Linked DNA regions of Macaca fascicularis. The protein of the gene in region 3 interacts with the protein of the main gene of each other region in a biochemical or structural test. Links are inferred from orthologs where the notes say so. Each region holds a gene or a part of one and is shown on either strand. Other genes may lie near its edges.

Region 1 (6,127 bases), about 11 Mb from region 3:
CCTTTCCCTGGCTTACAAAGCCTGAAATCAAAGCCTAAAATCTTTAGGCTTTAAATTCTGATTTCATTGTTCTGAGCGCAAGGTCTTCCCCTAAATAAAGCTCTCCAGGTGACTCCAAGGTGCAGCCCACATTGAGAATCATCATCGTAAGGATCTGGCCTGTGCTGACTTCCCTGACTTCATTCTATGCTGGGTTCCATGCTCTTCCCCACCAAGCATACATAGTCCAGCTTCTGAATCTTTACCACGTGCTGTTCCCACTGCCCGGCTCCTGCACATGTGCATGGCTCACTTGCTCCTTCACTGCATTCTGCTCTATGATAAAATGTTAGTTCCTCAGAAGGGCCTACTTTGGCCACCGTACCCTTACCCTGCTTTATTTCCCTTCAAATCAGTGATCACACATGGCATTTTTAATATTATTACCGCCTGCCTCCCCCACTAAGATCAAGCTCCAAATGGGCAGGCATTTTTAATTGTTTTGGTCACCACCGCATCCCCAAAACCCTGCACAACATCTGGCACGAAGTATGGGCTCAATAAATGTTAAATGAGCACTGTGCGGATGATTCTTAAACCCTGGGCCCTGCCTCAAGGAGAAAGCACCCTTTATTTGTTTAGAAAGCACATGATCCATCAGCTGGTGACCAGGGAAGCGCTGGTCACTCCCCTCAAGTATCCCTTATGGACAGACTGGCAATGTCGTTGCCACTCTCCACCCTAGTGAGTAAGGAAGGTTCATGGGGGTCTTGAAAACTTCATCTGCAAGACATGGAGCAATATAGTGCCAGGCCAGGTGCCGTGGCTCATGCCTGTAATCGCAGCACTTTGGGAGACCCAGGCAGGTGGATAGTTTGAAGCCAGAAGTTGAAGACCAGCCTGGCCAACACAGTGAAACCCTGTCTCTACAAAAAAATTAGCTAGGCATGGTGGCACGTGCCCGTAATCCCAGCTACTTGGAAGGCTGAGGCACAAGAATCAATTGAACACAGGAGGTGGAGGTTGCAGTGAGTTGAGATGGTGCCACTGCACTCCAGCCTGGGTGACAGACATTCAGTATCAAAAAAAAATAAAAATAAAAAAATGCAGTGCCCATCCTATAGTGCTGTAAAGATTTAATGCCTTGTACACACAGAGCACTTCACATATACACTATCTGGCACCTACTTTGAACATCATCATTCAAACTCAGGGGAACGGGTCTCCTCTTCCCTCCTTATGCACCTTAATGGTATTAACGATGAAAATGTAATTTTTAATAGCTACTCCTAATTTGATCTTTTAAAATGAACAGTTTCCTTTTCAAAACTCCAGAACATAACCAAGAGTTGTTCACTTTTTATCTTCTATCCCCCTTCAGTCCACTTTCCACACAGCAACTAATAAGTGCTGTTTCTGTTTTGTTTTGTTTTATTATACTTTAAGTTCTAGGGTACATGTGCACAACGTGCAGGTTTGTTACATATGTATACATGTGCCATGTTGGTGTGCTGCATCCATTAACTCGTCATTTACATCAGGTATATCTCCTAATGCTATCCCTCCCTGCTACCCCCACCCCACAACAGCACCCGGTATGTGATGTTCCCCTTCCTGTGTCCAAGTGTTCTCATTGTTCAATTCCCACCTATGAGTGAGAACATGCGGTGTTTGGTTTTTTGTTCTTGCAATAGTTTGCTGAGAATGATGGTTTCCAGCTGCATCCATGTGCCTAACAGCACTCAGATCTCATTATTTTCTTGCCCAAACCCTCCAACAGTTTTCCAAAGCCAGGACCTTCATTTAGGGGAGATGCCACAGCTAGGTTTATGAAAGTCTCAACCCAGGCCTAATAAAAAGGAAGTACTGGCATGTGCACGGGGCGGAGTGGGCAGGAGTGTAAACTTTCTTTTTTTTTTTTTTTTGAGACGGAGTCTCGCTCTGTTGCCCAGGCTGGAGTGCAGTGGCCAGATCTCAGCTCACTGCAAGCTCCGCCTCCTGGGTTCACGCCATTCTCCTGCCTCAGCCTCCCGAGTAGCTGGGACTACAGGCGCCCGCCACCTCGCCCGGCTAGTTTTTTGTATTTTTTAGTAGAGACAGGGTTTCACCGTGTCAGCCAGGATGGTCTCGATCTCCTGACCTCGTGATCCGCCCGTCTCGGCCTCCCAAAGTGCTGGGATTACAGGCTTGAGCCACCGCGCCCGGCCAACTTTCAATCCCAGATACTCAAAACATCTCATTTCAGGTCCTGGAGCTTTTTGGGGGAAAATGTACCAAAAGTACCCACTCCTCAGAAAAAACACATGTTCACACAAACTTTTCCAGTAAGTTCTTTTTTGGGGGGAAGGGGGGTTCCACAAACTCCCTGATTTAAAATCTGCTTTCCTTCCACAGCCTTCTCCATCTCAAAAATGGCAATTCCATCCTTCCAGCTACACACCCCCAAACCCTTGGTTATCCTTGACTCTGCTCACACACCCACATACAATCTGTTGGTTCTGTCTTCAAAAGCATGTAAAACCGTCAGCATGTCCACTGCTTCCATCCTGGTCCACCACACCACCTCCTAGATTACAGCAACAAGCTTCCCACCGATTTGCCTGCTTCCACATTTGCCACCCTGAGGTCTTTCACACATGGAAGCAAGAAGAATCCCTTTTAAAAATGTCAGACTGCACCACGCCCCTGCTCAAAAGCTCCCAAAGGGTTCTCTCACTCAGACTAAAATCCTTACTAAAGAGCTAACACCTGACAACTTTTACAACTTCACATTCTACCACACAACGGAAGAAGGTTGGAAGAAGGGGTATCCTCCATTTCTGAGGTAATCATAGACCAGGATGCCTGCAGGCAAGTCAGGATCTCAATAGGAGAGATACCTGGCCTACAATCCCTCAGCCCACTTCATCAGGAGATCCCCCAAACACGGAAGAGAAAGGGAGCTTGGGAGAAGGGCACGGATCCACAAATCTCCTGCCAGGTGACCCCAATCTCTCCACACAAACACACACAAAAAAGAAAAATAAAGCCTGTTCCAGGAAAACAGACCCTTTGGGCCATGGTGGAAAATTCTCCAAACTCAATGAAGCAAGTTCTCACACAGACGAGTGGGGGTTGGGCAGGCCAGATGGAGGAAGTGCTCAGACACCACGGAGAAGGATTCTAATTTTGTTCTCTTTGAGAAAGATAAAGGCAACAGCTAGAGCCAATACTATTATGTCAAGCACTGTGCTATTTTTTTTTAAACGTCGCTTAATCCTAACTGGCGCCTTTTTATTGATGAGAAAACAGAGGCTCAGAGAGGTAAAGCCACTTGCCCAAGGTCACACAGCAGGCTAAGAAGCTGAGCCAGAACTGAAATACTAAACTGAGGCCCTTCTGCTGTCAAAGCCAGGACCCTCATCATTCCACCATGAAGGCAGTGGGTTCAGCAGAATCTAATGGAAAATCGAAAGAATAAAACCACTTACGTCCTGTGACAACCACCCACCCCCCTACCCCAATCTAATGCCGAGCTTGTTAAGTCTCGCCCCGGAGGTGGAAATCTTAGTCCCCAAATCTCCACTCCATCCCTGGGGATCCGCCCCCCTGTAAGTGCAGAAGGCGGGAAAGTGAGCCAGAGTGCCGCACACGGCCAACCGAGGAGTCCTCCGCTCCGGCCCACTCGGAAAAGCTGGGTTGGGGGATAAGGGGATGGTGGTGGTGGCAGCGACAGGGAAGGCAAATAGGGGCTTCCCACACACATCTCCAGGACCCAAGGTCAGGAACTCTCCATCTCCGACCCAAGGCTGATTCCCAAAACACGCCCAGCTATCCAAGACTCCAGATGCCGGGATCCAGACTCTAGTCCAAGACTCCTGAGTGCCGCCTCCTGCCCAATATCCAAAATCCCTATTAGACGGCCTCAATGAGACGAACCCCAGGTCAAGACCCCCAGTGCCAGGCCCAAGGCCTTCTTCGACTCACGACCGTGACCTCCGAAGCCAGTCACTAACCCCTAGACCTCCTGGAATCAGGATTCCCCTTCCCACATGAGACCGGATCCGTGCTCAGAACCCCTGCCCCCAGGCCAAGGCCCCACCCCTCCGATTCTGGCCTGGCACCCGGATTCCCGCCCGGCCTCCGTCCCTGATCCTGGACCCCACCCCAGCCTGACCTGGCTTCATGGTGAGCCCGGGTTTGTGCGGCTCCGGAGCCCGCGGCGTTCACAACTCCACGAGTCCGGCGCTTTCGCACGTGGAAAAGAGCGCAGGCGCGCGGCGACGTGCAGCGCGTGACGCAACCACGTAGCCCCGCCCCGGCCCCCTGCCCCGCTTGGAGCTCGGCGCACGCACAGTGGGCGAGGATTCTCGAGCCTATCGAAACTAAGCCGGTTACCCTCACTCTCTGCCTTCCCAGCCTTTGCTTGTGCAGCGGTCTCCCTAAACTCGCTTCCGGTTTCCTCTTCCGCAGTGCGAGCACCCCAATAATCAGGGCTCATAGCGAGGCCTTCGCACGGGCTGTGCCCTCTGCCCCCTCTTTTGTATTTCTAACTCCCTGAGGTCCCTGTACACCCAAAACGGCTTCCCTGACACATTTCCAGCGCCAAGAACAGTGACCGACTCTGTGCTTCCATTCATACATCCGAAAAACATTTACCGTGCCTCTCATGTATACCAGGCGCTGTTCTAGGAGCTGGGAATACAGCGGTGTACGAGACATAAGAATCTCCACTCTCGGCCGGGCGCGGTGGCTCAAGCCTGTAATCCCAGCACTTTGGGAGGCCGAGACGGGCGGATCACGAGGTCAGGAGATCGAGACCATCCTGGCTAACACAGTGAAACCCCGTCTCTACTAAAAAATACAAAAAACTAGCCAGGTGAGGTGACGGGCGCCTGTAGTCCCAGATACTCGGGAGGCTGAGGCAGGAGAATGGCGTGAACCCAGGAGGCGGAGCTTGCACTGAGCTGAGATCCGGCCACTGCGCTCCAGCCTGGGCAAGAGAGCCAGACTCCGCCTCAAAAAAAAAAAAAAAAAAAAAAAGAATCTCCACTCTCCTGGAGTTAATCTTTTTAATGGAGGAAATGGACACCAAACATGTTGAATGTTAGAAGGCAGTAAGTGCTTTGGAGAAAATCATGGCAGGGAAAGGGGATAGAGATTTTGGAGGGCAAGTGATTTTTGTTTTTTTGGCATGGTGGTCAGGGAATGCATCAGGTGACTTTTGAGCTAAAGAGCTGAAGGAAGTGAGGAGTGAGGCATGCACCTATCTAGGGGAAGGGAGTTCCAGGCAGGGAAGAGATCTGCAGATGCAGAGGCCCTGAGGAAGGAAAGATACGGGAAGTTGGAGAGAAAATGAGGAGGGTGATTGGGGCAAAGTGAGCAAGATGGAGAGTGAGAGGAGATAAGGGCGGGTAGCTAACAAGGGCAGATTGTGAGGAGCTTTGTGGGACATAGTGAGGACTTTGGCAGTAAGATGGAACCATGGAAGGGTTCCAAGCAGAGAAGGAATGTGATCTGACACAGGTCCCTCTGGCTGCGTGTGGGAAGCAGACTGCAGGCGTGAGGGTGGAAGCAGGAAAACCAAGGACTGGCTGCTGCCATGAATCAGAAGGAGACAAGGATGGACAAGATCAGAGTGGGGGCAGAGAGCGGCGTCAGGGGTCAACAGATTCTGCTTAAGTATTAAGAATTTTGTGGGCCGGACGCGGTAGCTCAAGCCTGTAATCCCAGCACTTTAGGAGGCCGAGGCGGGCGGATTACGAGGTCAGGAGATGGAGACCATCCTGGCTAACACAGTGAAACCCCGTCTCTACTAAAGAATACAAAAAATTAGCCGGGCGTAATGGCGAGCGCCTATAGTCCCAGCTACTAAGGAGGCTGAGGCAGAAGAATGGCGTGAACCCAGGAGGCGGAGGTTGCAGTAAGCCGAGATTGCGCCACTGCACTCCAGCCTGGGCGACAGAGCAAGACTCCGTCTCAAAAAAAAAAAAGAAAAAAACAAGAATTTTGTGCTTTGTAATTGTATAATATCAATATCCATCCCTATATTCATTCTGCAAAGCAAGACAACTGCTGTGATAAGAAGTTACTGAAAACTTCCAAAACAACCTACCCGTCCAGAGCCTAGATGTTAACTGTTCCATTCAGTGCCCTATCACTCTAGGCC
Region 2 (6,027 bases), on a different chromosome or scaffold from region 3:
TAGCTATTGTATTTTTTAAGCATGTCCCAGGGAACAGACCAGAAATCTTACTTTCGTAATGCAGCCTCTATTTTGTTTTTCCAGAGACCATCTTTGACCAATGTTTATCTGAATTCGCCATATATAAATATTGTACCCACACGCAATGACACCTAAGTTATGAACCCAAGCCTTTGGCTTTAAATGTTGAGACAAATCAAGAAACCTTTTGTTAGTTAACCAAACCAGAAAAGTTCCAGCTTACTGGGAGACTTCTCAAATTTGTCATTTTTCCATGAATTCAGTTTGTGCTGTTTAAGACCTTCCTGGTCCATGAATTCAGTTTGTGCTGTTTAAGACCTGGTTATTTCCCATGAGCCACACATGCTTCCAATCTTTCTTGAAGTAGTGCACATGTTCCTTCCCAGAGCTAGTTTCTATTTGCCCATCTGAGTTAAGTCCATATACATAGAATTGCATTCATTGACACCATTCCGTACTTTATAAAGGTATACCAACTTCACCATTCTTAGGGCAATGTTACATCCCTCTTCCAGAATTAAAACATTTGGAGGTTGTCTCCCACTCTCACACACACACAAGCCTTGGACACAATGATCAAAAGGATCCTAAAGTCAAGATGGCACCACGTGTTCCAGCACGCACTCTCCAGTTTCTCATGATGATGGTCACTAAGTGCCAGGTGTGGCAACAGCCCTGTCCAAGGCCTACTAAACCCCTCTTATTAACCTGGGGCAAACCCATTTGGTAAAAGACGACTACTGAATCTTACCCCTGCCTGCTCCAGGTTAGCACACACCAGGCAACAGGTGGCATTCTACCCTACCCCTTTATGGAGGTGGTTCTGGACACTTCAAAACCTTTGACATTTAAATTAACACGCTAAGACATCTGCAAATGAACAATCAGACAAAGCATTGCTGGGAGTTGGGAATTTTGGAAACTCTGTTCACTTACCACCAAATTTATTGAAGCCACCACGGTCACTTCCGCTGGAGAAGACAAGTTAGAAGAAAGGACATGAAGCTTCCAACGGCTACAAAAGGGTGTTTTTTGATTTTGTTTAACATTTCCCAAACACGGGTAGGTGTTTTTGGAAAAAGATACAAGTGGCTACTAAAATACATCCCTTCCTGACCACCCCTTGTCTGACCTTTGAGCATGTCACACACACGTGTGCAATTTCTCAGACACAGTTTATAAAGATTTTGCTTTAAAAGGTTATGTATCTATTTCCTCTGGAAAAAAATGACCCATTTTCCTTGGTCGTTCTTCCGATGGAGCAGATGTTTTTTTTTCCTCTTGTCGCAAGTGGTTGACAACCAAGTAGTTGGTTTAAAAACCCTACCCCAATTTACCCAGAAGACATTTCACACCAGGCTGGGGTAGCCTTGAACACACTTTTGTGGTTTTTGCTTTGAAAGCAGCAAGCAGACCCAACCCCATTCCATAAAAAGTCAAAACCAAAGGCAACTTCCCCTTAAAGCAAGACAAACTTAGCTAAGCTCTGTCCTAACTACTGAGCTGTTTTTAATCTCCCCCAACCCCCGGGGTCACCCCTTCTACACTGCGAGAAGAGCGGAGTATTTTGCAATGTCACCTTTCATACCTGTGGCACATAAAATGCAGAGCAAGTTAACAGTCACATAACAGTTGTTTTTCTTTTTAAAGTTTTGCATTAAACACACGCACACAACAGAGTTTTCCTCATTTTTGTACGTTTTTGAGATTGCCCCCACCCACCTCTGCATACTTACCATATCCAAACTCAGTTTAAAAATCTACTTTTTCCAAAAACAGTTACACTGACATTCCTGCCCTTTTTCAAGGGAGACAGAGTGGGGTCCTTCAAATCGTATTTACCGACAGATTTGACAACTGTTTTAACATCAAATCTAAGGTTTTACTTCAAATCAACTTCAGCAGGAAGGAAAGAAGGTCCAGTTGGACAAGCTGATGAATTTTAAGTAACCAGGGTAAGGCAGACAGTGGAACAACTAGGTGGGAGACCACTGTCAAGCATATTTTTGCCCAAAAGGTCTGCACACTTCAGTCAGTTGGTCCCATAAACCAAGTCACACCCAAAATCAATGTCGGTCAAATTGGTGCAAATCAAGCTCGTGGATTCAAATGACTACAGAAAACGGGAAGAGTAACCAATTCCTGGAAGCTGAAGTCAGGTTAACCATTACCAACTCCCTAGAGGACACACGGGAACACACATACCAAGTTTCCCTACTATTTCCCAGGAGTGGGTTCATCGGTTTCCCTTGCAGAGAAAGAAGTCTTCACTTCCATGTTTCTTGCCTAGGATATCAATGACTCCAATCCATACGTATTGGAAATCTATGTATGATTTCTTTTTTTTGGAAACAAGTATCAATACTCAAAATCTCTATTCGGTGGTATGGATGGGAGTTCAGGCTCCCAAATTCTCACAAAAATAAAATGGGGATGTAAAAAGAAAATCACTGCCCCCAAATCAAAGCCCTCACAAATCCCCCAGACAACAAGAATACTAAACCATGCATTAGGGACTGGCTTCAGGGAGATTCATGCAATCCTCCACACTCCCCACCAAAGATACTCCCTGGCTCATGAGACACCTACCCCATGCCACCTCTGCCTCCACGGCCACCTCCACGACCTCTGGGTTCATAGCCACCACTGCTGCGGTTGTAACCACCACCACCGCCGCCGCCACCACTGCTGCCGCCCCTGCCACGGCCTCCACGGTCCTGCTGTCCGTAGCCACCGCCGCCTCCACCACTCTGGTCTTGATTGCCATAACCACCACCACCACCACCACTGCCGCCGCCGCCACCGCCGCCGCCGCCACCACTACCACCACTCATGGAGGATTGATCTTGGCCATAGCTACCTGTGAGAAAAAAAAGGATGGTTTAAAAAAAAAATTGTAAAGTAGCACAAAAAGGTATGACAAGTGCCAGGCAATGAAGTACAAAAGAAATTAAAAAGACAGCTAGGAAATAAAACAGGAACCCTTTTAGGCTAAAACAGAATACAAATCCTTATAGAAAATGGGCTGCAGACAAAGCTGAGGACATCTCACCTCCACCTCCACTACCACTGCTGCTGCTGTTGTACTGGTTCTGCTGTCCATAGCCCTGAGGGGGATTATAGCTTTGCTGCTGTCCATAGCTTTGCTGCTGTCCACCATAGCTAGGCTGCTGGCCGTAGCCCCCACTCGGGGGCTGCCCATAGCTGCTGGTCTGAGAACTGCTACCGTAACTAAGGAAAACAAACAAAAAACACAATCACAATCCCAGCATAGCCCCCCAATTTCCTTTTAGTGGATTCCATTCTCTGTACTCAACACAGGCTCCCCTACCCCAATTATACCTCTAAACTGCTCCTACTGCTGCTGGTCCCTTTATCATTCCTCATCAATTCACCCCTCTTTTCAAGCCTTCCCCGACATCGACACCACCGTACCTTCCCGAGGTGCTGCTGGGAGTTGGCTGCTGGCCATAGCCAGGGTAGGAGGACTGCTGCCCATAAGAAGATTGGGAGCTCTGGCTACTGCCATAGCCGCCAGTCGAGCCATATCCCTGGGGAGCTGACTGAGTTCCATAGCCTGCTACAAGAAAAAAGAAGTCACAAAAGCCACCAGGAAAAAGAAAATGTAAGAAATGTGTTAAAACATATACAACCTAATACCTATACTCAAAAAGTCAGCCTTTCAGAAGCTGTTCATAATCTTGCAACTCATAGTTACCCTCCTTTCAAAGCCCAAAGTTAATGCTCCAACTTCTATCCTCTCTAAGACAGTTCCAATTTAACCCCGCCAACCCCAACACCCTCTAATCCCAAGCCCAAGGATTCCTGTTAACAGCACTGTGATATGCAGCTGTGCATGCAGTTACGTACAGGACAACCACCTTTCTTAGTTACACTTCAGGACCTTGGGGCAATCCCACCTCCTTATGTATCACATGATTTCATACATTTGTTTCAAGCATAACCATTTTCTCCATTTAAGAATTGGCCTAAAACTGGTTCTCCCGTTAGAAAATATGCTCTTTCATGCTGAGATGGGAAATGAGAGTCATAAAAATTAAAAGCCAAAGAAAACAAATGTAAACAGAATCACAAACCAAAAAACATTTTTGTTTTTTGAGATGGGGCCGCAATACACTGCCCAGGCTGGAATGCAGTCGCTGTTCAGTCACTATCATAGCTCACTGCAGCCCCAAACTCCTGAACTCAAGGAATCCTCCTGCCTCAGACTCCTCAGTAGCTGGGACTACAGGTGTGCCACAATGCCCTGTAAAGGACTCAGATCCCAAAGAGTTTTAAGAATTATACACTCATTTAGGGAAAAGAAATATGGAAGAGTTTCAACACTTCAGTCCTGCTCAGGTTTAAGAAAAGGGACATTCAGGGCGTGATGGCTCACAACTGTAATCCCAGCACTTTGGGAGACTGACGCAGGTGGATCACAAGGTCAGGAGTTCTAGACCAGCCTATCGAACATGGTGAAACCCCATCTCTACTAAAAATACAAAAATCAGTAGGGCGTGGTAGCAGGTGCCTGTAATCGCAGCTACTCAGGAGGCTGAGGCAGGGGAATTGTTTGAACCCGGGAGGCGGATGTTGCAGTGAGCTGAGATAGCACCATTGCACTCCAGCCTGGGCAACAGGATGAGACTCCGTCTCCCAAAGAAAAAGAAAAAAAAGAAAAGCAATATTCAGAAAGAGCAGGAAGAGGTGACCTGCTGAGAAAGACTCACTGCTCTGGCTCTGGCCGTAAGAAGAATAGCTGCTCTGGCCATAGCCTGAAGTGTCCGTGGACTGGCTGTAACCGCTGTAACTCTGCTGTCCGTAGGGCTGACTGCTCTGCTGGGAATAGCCCTGCCCAGGCTGGGTGGGGTAGGCCCCATAGCTAGATGAAAGGAAAACCAGCGTGATCAGAAAACACAGCTTGACCACCCTTCCCCTCTACAAACTCTGGAAGCCCAAAAACAGCACTCACCTTTGGGTTGCTTGTTGGGTATAATCTGCAAAAAAAAAAAAATACAATCACATTATCTTCAGCCGCCACTCTGAAACAGTTGAATTAAAGCTAAATTCCTTAACTCAAGCACTGATGAATAAATAGGACCACACAGGCCAGGTGCGGTGGCCCACGCCTATAATCCCAGCACTTTGGGAGGCCGAGGTGGATGGATCACTTGGGGTCAGGAATTCCAACCAACATGAAGCCCCATCGCTAATAAAAATACAAAAAATTAGCCGGGTATGGTGGCGCACGCCTGTAATCCCAGCTATTTGGGAGGCTGAAGCAGAAGAATCGCTTGAACCCGTGAGACAGAGGTTGCAGATCGCGCCACTGCACTCCAGCGTGGGCGACAGAGCGAGACTCCGTCTCAAAAAAAAAAAAAAAAAAAAAAGCATCACGTTTCAATAAAGGGCATAAAATTCCCCCATTGAGACACTGGTTGAGAAGAGTAGCAAACTGGCCTATCAGCCAAGTGTTCTTACAAAAAAGAAAAAGTGAAGAAAATGCAAGTTTCTACAGAGTCCCAGAAGCCTTAACCGTTGGAAAAACCAAGGTCTTGGTGGACAGCCACAACTTTCTGCAAGACCAATTCATGTCAGTGATTGCTCTAAAACATCGCGCATTCGCTTCTTCCACTCTATAACAAAGCCATTATTGCCAGGAGTCAAAACAGACTAACTCGCCCAAAGTCGTAGAGCTACCAAGTAGCACAGGTCTGAATTCGAGCAGTGTTCAGATTGTGGCCTCTACTCTCTCAGCCCAGACCCACAGAAGAATGTCTCAAAAAAGGCCATTCTGCACTCTTTGACCAATTCCGGAGAAGAAGTGGCCTTTTTAGTGCAAAGCCAGAGAATCAAGAGCCCTTGGACCCCAAATGACAGAGATCATCCAAGTGCTCGCCTTAAGAGGCCAAAGTCAACAGGTACTCGAGTCCCCAGCCGTGGGGCTCCAGATGGTTCTGTTTTCTCATCTACCCTGCCTTCCCCTGGGCGAACCAAAAGCAA
Region 3 (6,027 bases):
CGATGGTGAAGTCCAGGTCCCGCTGTGGGGAGAGGGCAGGCATGAGGGCGGAACCCACCAGGAGGTGGTGGCAGGGCGGTGCAGGCAGGCCATGCGCTGGGCTCCAGCTTCCTGCCCATCTCCACACTGCAGACCCCAACTGCTGGTCCCACCCTAGCAGCTGTCCTGACCCTGTCAAGGGACAGCGCCACGTGGACACCCTCAAGCCCACTAGGTTCACTCAGGAGCAGAGCCTGGCTGCTATCCCTTGCCCTTGGATTTCTCCATCAAGACGTTCCCCATCAGCAATGCAGTGATTGCTTCTTTCATAAATCAGAAAACCTCTCCCAAGCCCACTTCTGCTCAGGCAAACGTTCCAGTGAAACGCAGTGGTCCAGCCTCTGTCTCCACTTCTCCTCCCAGGCTTCCTGAAGGCCCCCCATACCCTCCAGCACAGGAAGAGGGGATCAAGTTGCCAACAGCCCCGAGGACTCCTCCTCCCTCTCCAGTATCTGTTTCCCAGCTAGCGCCATGGCCCCAGGGGCTACAGGAGTCTTTGCAGGGGGTGGTCCTGTGGTTGTAGGACGTTTACCAGCCCCTGGCCCCTACATACCAGATGCCAGGAGCACCCCTTCTCCAGAGTGACAACCACAAATGTTTCCACAGATGGTGACGAACGTCCTCTGTCGGGGGTGGGGGGCACTGAAACTGCCCAGCTGACAACTGCTGCTGTCACGGGCTCGAGGGCGTCCCGGGGCCCACATTCCATGACTGCCCTGAGTGCCACCCACCCTCGCACCCATGGGCCGGGACTCACTCTTCCAGCCCACACCACTCCCGGTGACTCCAGGCTCCCGGCCTTCCATCCTCCTGCCTGCTCAAACCCGCCACACTGGACCTCTCTGCCCAGACCCTCTCTCCCAGAAGACCCCCCAGCTCCCCTGGAAACCCCCTGATCTCAGGTGATGGCAGCTCCTACCAGGTGCTCAGGAGGAAAAAGGGGGGAGTGGAAAACAAAAAGCTGCCTTTCTCCTCCTCTCATGCCTCCCACCTGGGCTAGCAAACCCTGTGCGCTCTACCGGGGCCGCCTCTTGCCCTGGAGCTCACCCACGCCAACACCTGTCTGCCCTGCTCCCAGCCTGACAGAGGTCACCTCCCACTGGCATCACCATGTCACTGATCCCCTTGTGTAGACTGGAAGCACCAGGAGGACAGGGCTTTGGCCTGGGTCCCCAGGCCCATCTTCCAGTAAATGCTAAGAAATCTGCTGTGTAGACAGGCGTGGGGCTGAGGGGCTCAGGGACCCGGGAACAGGCAGAGGCACTCGCCCCTGCCAGCTGCCCCCATCCGCCCCAGCTACCCCCATCCCCTACGCTGCCACCATTCCCCCCTACCACTGCCCCTATCCATGCTCCCCACCCCGGCTGCCACCCTCCTGCCCAGCTGCCCAGAGCCTCACGTTGTTCTTGGCATTGGGCCGCATGCCGATGGTGCCGAAGATCTCCTCGCCCGTCTTCACGGTCAGGTAGTCCTCCATGTAGAACACTGTCTGCTTCCAGTGCGTGTACGGGGACTCAGGGCCTGGGGGCGCAGGCGGGTCAGCTGGCCTTGGCCTGCTGCCCTGGCCCCAGTCTTGTGTTCCCTCTGTTGGAATGTCCACCCCCCTGACAGCTGACGGGACTGCTGTCCGTGAGTCACCTCCCTGTCATTCAGCTTTGGAGACAGGGACCGTGTCAGGCTTTTGTGGATGAGGAAACTGAGGCACTGCACACTCAGATCACTTGCTCAAGGCCACGTGACTGCTACATGGCAGAGCTCACGCTGGAACACACATGTCCCCATGGCTCCCTCTGCCCGTTTCTGTCACCCCCTCCACTATGTGGGTGCCCCTCGGCCCTGGCTCAGGAGCAGCCCCCAGCCCTGCGGGCCCCGCCTCACTGGTGGAGAAGCCCGTCCTCTTGTGGCAGCGCGTGAACTCGATGTTGAAGTAGGCCACCAGGGCGTGCACGTAGTCATTCCGCTTCACTTGCAGGCAGAACGGGGAGGTGAACGTCAGGTCTTCCACCTTGACGGTGTAGATGTCCACCTCCTGCAGGACAGGAGAGGGTGAGCTCCGGGATGTGTCCCCACCTCGCTTCATCCCCTCCTCCCTCCCTCAAGCTCCCAGAGGGCCTGTGACCTCACTGTCCCCTTCCCGCTGGCCCTCCCTTACTGGCACCCAGCCTCAGCTCCTCATTCACTCCTCATCCTGACTGTCCGGCTCCCAATAAACCGCCTCGGTTTGAGCCCAGATTCTTTGCTCCCTTCTCTCCCGCACCCAAACCTGGCGCCGCCACCCTAACTCTGTCCAGAGCCCACCCCGCCCCGACCCCACCTGGCCAGACCTCCTGGGAATGCAGGCACCCTGCTCCCCCCTCTCCGCGCTCCCCCCTCTCCGCGCTCCCCGCTCTCCGCGCTCTCCGGGCCGCGCTCCCCCTCTCCGCACTCCACCCTCTCCGCGCTCCCCCCTCTCCGCGCTCCCCCCTCTCCGCGCTCCCCACTCTCCCCAACCCTTCACAAGTCCACCAGCATGATGGCTTCAAACGGCAATCCAACCGAAAACCCTGCACCAGTTCCGCTGGTTCTCAGGAGGGTGGCCTGGGTGGGGTCCCTGCCCCTCCAGTCTCCTCTCCATTCCCACTCAACAGCTTCCTCCTCCCCACAGGAACCCCCGGCCAACCACCCAGCTTCACCCGGCTCACACATCCCAGCTCAACAAATACTCGTTGCCTTATTTTTTTTTTTTTAAACAGGGTCGGCCGGGCGCGGTGGCTCAAGCCTGTAATCCCAGCACTTTGGGAGGCCGAGACGGGCGGATCACAAGGTCAGGAGATCGAGACCATCCTGGCTAACACAGTGAAACCCCGTCTCTACTAAAAAATGCAAAAAAAAAAAAAAAAAAAAACTAGCCAGGCGGGTTGGCGGGAGTCTGTAGTCCCAGCTACTCGGGAGGCTGAGGTAGGAGAATGGCATAAACCCGGGAGGCGGAGCTTGCAGTGAGCTGAGATCCGGCCACTGCGCTCCAGCCTGGGCGACAGAGCAAGACTCCGTCTCAAAAAAAAAAGAAAAAATAAATAAATAAATAAACAGGGTCTCAGAAGTTAAAAAAAGTTAAAAACAAAACAAAACACTGTCACCAAGGCTGGAGTGCAGGGATGTGATCACAGCTCACTGCAGCCTTGAACTCCCAGGCCCAAGAGATCCTCCCGCCTCAGCCTCCTGAGTAGCTGCAACCACAGGCACATCTCGGATCCCAGCCTGGCCCCCTGCTCTTCTGCAGCGTGTGCACCCGCTCATCGCCCCAGGTCCTGCCTTCCCGTGTACGGGCTGTGGGCTTTAGCTACCAGCTGCGGGTGTGTCCTCTGCCGGACACCAAGTGCCAAACGTGGTTCTCACACGGCAGCGCTCACAAAGATGTTTAAAGGATGAAACGTCTTTCCTGGGCCCCTAGCACCACCTCTGGCTGGCAGGTCAGGCTCTGAGACCTCAGGCCAACACTCTGGGCCCCAAAGTCCCATGCCAGGGCCAGGTGATGGCCTCTCTTTGGTTTCAACCCAGGGGGCACCTGGCCATGCCCACCCCCCCCCCTCACCTTTATGAGGCAGGCATTGGTGACCAGCTGTTTGGGGTCCACCACATCCACTAGGGGCTCCTTGATGGCCACATCTTTGATGCAAGACATGTCGAAGCCATACACGTTCTCCCACCCTGGGGAGGCAGGCAGGGAGGGGGTGAGCCCGCGGCAGCCCACCCGGGGCCCCGCCCGCCCGCTCCTGGGCCACGCTCACAGTGGATCTTGTAGTCTTTGTACTGCCGGTCCTCGATGGCCGTCACATACAGCGTGGCCCGGTCTGGGAAGATGAGGCCATCGGGCGCCTGCAGAGGGGCAGGGCGAGGCATGAAGGGTGGGGCCTGGCAACGCTGCCCTGACTCTTGCCCCCGAGATGTGACCTTCTGCCCTGGTCTGAGCCACCCTCATGTCGCAGCGGCACTCACCCCTCACCCCCTGGTCTATTTCCCACACGGCCGCCAGAGGGCACCCAGGGGCACCTCAGTCAGCTCCTGTCCCTCGAGGTTCTGGGGATCCTCAGACCCTCCCTGGCTGCTCTGAGAGGAAAAGCAAAGTCGCGCGGGGTCCCATAAGGCCCCACAAAATCTGCACATGCCCTGTCACCCCTTACCTCCACTGCTCCTCCTGCTGCCCTTCTAGACCCTCCTTCCACACGGGCCTCCCTGCTGCTCCACATGCAGCAAGGGAACACCTGCCCTGGCCACCCCTCCACATCTTCATCCAGCTCTCGGTCACCTCACCTCTCCCGGGGCGGCCTGCTGGGGCCGGAGAACCTGGTCTAGTGCCCTGCTATAGTTTTCCTGTTCCTACAAACCCCCCCACATCGCACCATCTCCCACCAGGGTCTGTCACACCTGGCTCGGGCTGTGGCCTTCTAACACCTTGCAGCCACACCCCCATAGTAAGTCCCGTCTGTGGGAAAAATTGAGTGCTTTTGGCCCCCAGCCCATGCGAGCTGCACCCGTCTGCTGGGGCCTCACCAGCCACTTGTCCCGGGCGTAGAGCACGGTGTTGAGCATGGACTCGTAGAAGAGGCAGTAGCCCATCCACTCGCTGATGATGATGTCCACCTTCTCCACCGGGAGCTCTACCTCCTCCACCTTCCCCTTGATGATGGTCACCACTGCGGGCAGACAAGGGTGGCCACGTCAGCCCCCAGGAGGCTTGCCCCTCACCTCCCCTCCCCCGGGGGCCACAGCCTGGGGACCCCACTCAGTTCAGAGAACTCGGTGAGCAGAAGCCATGAACCCTCTTAACTGTTTTAAAATTCATAAATGGCTCTGGACATTTTTGAGGCAGGAGCAGAAATTTTATGTGAACTGGGTATCAGGCAATGTAATGATTTTTTTATTTTTACTTTTTTTTGAGACGGAGTCTCACTCTGTTGCCCAGGCTGGAGTGCAGTGGCGCGATCTCGGCTCACTGCAAGCTCCGCCTCCCAGGTTCACACCATTCTCCTGCCTCAGCCTCCCCAGTAGCTGAGACTACAGGGGCCCGCCACCACGCCCGGCTCATTTTTTTGTATTTTTAGTAGAGACGGCGTTTCACCATGTTAGCCAGGGTGGTCTCGATCTCCTGACCTCGTGATCCGCCCATCTTGGCCTCCCAAAGTGCTAGGATTACAGGCGTGAGCCACCGCGCCCAGTCACGATTTTTTTTTTTTTTTTTTTTTTTGAGACGGAGTCTCGCTCTGTCGCCCAGGCTGGAGTGCAGTGGCCGGATCTCCGCTCACTGCAAGCTCCGCCTCCCGGGTTTACGCCATTCTCCTGCCTCAGCCTCCCGAGTAGCTGGGACTACAGGCGCCCACCATCACACCCGGCAAATTTTTTTGTATTTTTTAGTAGAGACGGGGTTTCACCAGGTTAGCCAGGATGGTCTTGATCTCCTGACCTTGTGATCCGCCCGCCTCGGCCTCCCAAAGTGCTGGGATTACAGGCTTGAGCCACCGCGCCCGGCCTGGAATATGTTAAACAACATGACAAGCAGGTGTTTAAGAAGCCAAGGGCAAGAGGCTGGTATGAAATGCTACCGGCGTGAAAATTATGCGCGTGAATGTAAACACATTTACATATATATGTGTTTGTAGGTCCAGACGTCTCTAGAAGTTAGTGTTGGTTAAACTCGGAGGAGGGCAGCTGGGAAACAGGGCAGGCTTCTCACTGTGAGAACAGTGGCCAACCACGTGACTCTATTACTCATTCAAGAAACTAGAGAGTGCTTCTTGCCCTAATTTTAAGACGGAGGTGCTAAGCTTGTGATTTTGACACTCAGATTCTCAGGTGGCCGGCAGCCCAGAAGACCATGGGTGGGGAGCCGCTGAATCTGTGGCCATCCGTAGACCCCACTGCTCTTCAGAGGGCCCTGGGGAAGCGGAGCATCACCCCCTCCACTCCCACAAACCCATCCTCTTTCTGGGCTCACCGTGGTCTAACTTGTTG

Evidence for each region.
Region 1: of the proteins of PRMT1 (region 3) and FBL, one has a biochemical effect on the other in vitro, tested with the Homo sapiens proteins (2 studies listed by BioGRID). The link is inferred for Macaca fascicularis from reciprocal best matches to the Homo sapiens genes PRMT1 and FBL.
Region 2: of the proteins of PRMT1 (region 3) and FUS, one has a biochemical effect on the other in vitro, tested with the Homo sapiens proteins (3 studies listed by BioGRID). The link is inferred for Macaca fascicularis from reciprocal best matches to the Homo sapiens genes PRMT1 and FUS.

Annotation. Positions count from the first base shown.
Region 1 is NC_088393.1:46,965,807-46,971,933, forward strand, and holds the start of FBL (rRNA 2'-O-methyltransferase fibrillarin), read right to left. Parts: upstream 4,228-6,127; 5' UTR 4,146-4,227; coding exon 4,136-4,145; intron 1-4,135.
Region 2 is NC_088394.1:29,369,749-29,375,775, reverse strand, and holds part of FUS (RNA-binding protein FUS), read right to left. Parts: intron 5,022-6,027; coding exon 4,997-5,021; intron 4,907-4,996; coding exon 4,737-4,906; intron 3,602-4,736; coding exon of another isoform or gene 3,599-3,601; coding exon 3,457-3,598; intron 3,253-3,456; coding exon 3,074-3,252; intron 2,882-3,073; coding exon 2,611-2,881; intron 993-2,610; coding exon 958-992; intron 1-957. UniProt on the Homo sapiens protein: DNA/RNA-binding protein that plays a role in various cellular processes such as transcription regulation, RNA splicing, RNA transport, DNA repair and damage response. Binds to ssRNA containing the consensus sequence 5'-AGGUAA-3'.
Region 3 is NC_088393.1:57,656,137-57,662,163, reverse strand, and holds part of PRMT1 (protein arginine N-methyltransferase 1), read right to left. Parts: coding exon 6,011-6,027; intron 4,713-6,010; coding exon 4,570-4,712; intron 3,895-4,569; coding exon 3,807-3,894; intron 3,727-3,806; coding exon 3,611-3,726; intron 2,069-3,610; coding exon 1,918-2,068; intron 1,561-1,917; coding exon 1,439-1,560; intron 23-1,438; coding exon 1-22. UniProt on the Homo sapiens protein: Arginine methyltransferase that methylates (mono and asymmetric dimethylation) the guanidino nitrogens of arginyl residues present in proteins such as ESR1, histone H2, H3 and H4, FMR1, ILF3, HNRNPA1, HNRNPD, NFATC2IP, SUPT5H, TAF15, EWS, HABP4, SERBP1, RBM15, FOXO1, CHTOP, MAP3K5/ASK1, MICU1 and NPRL2.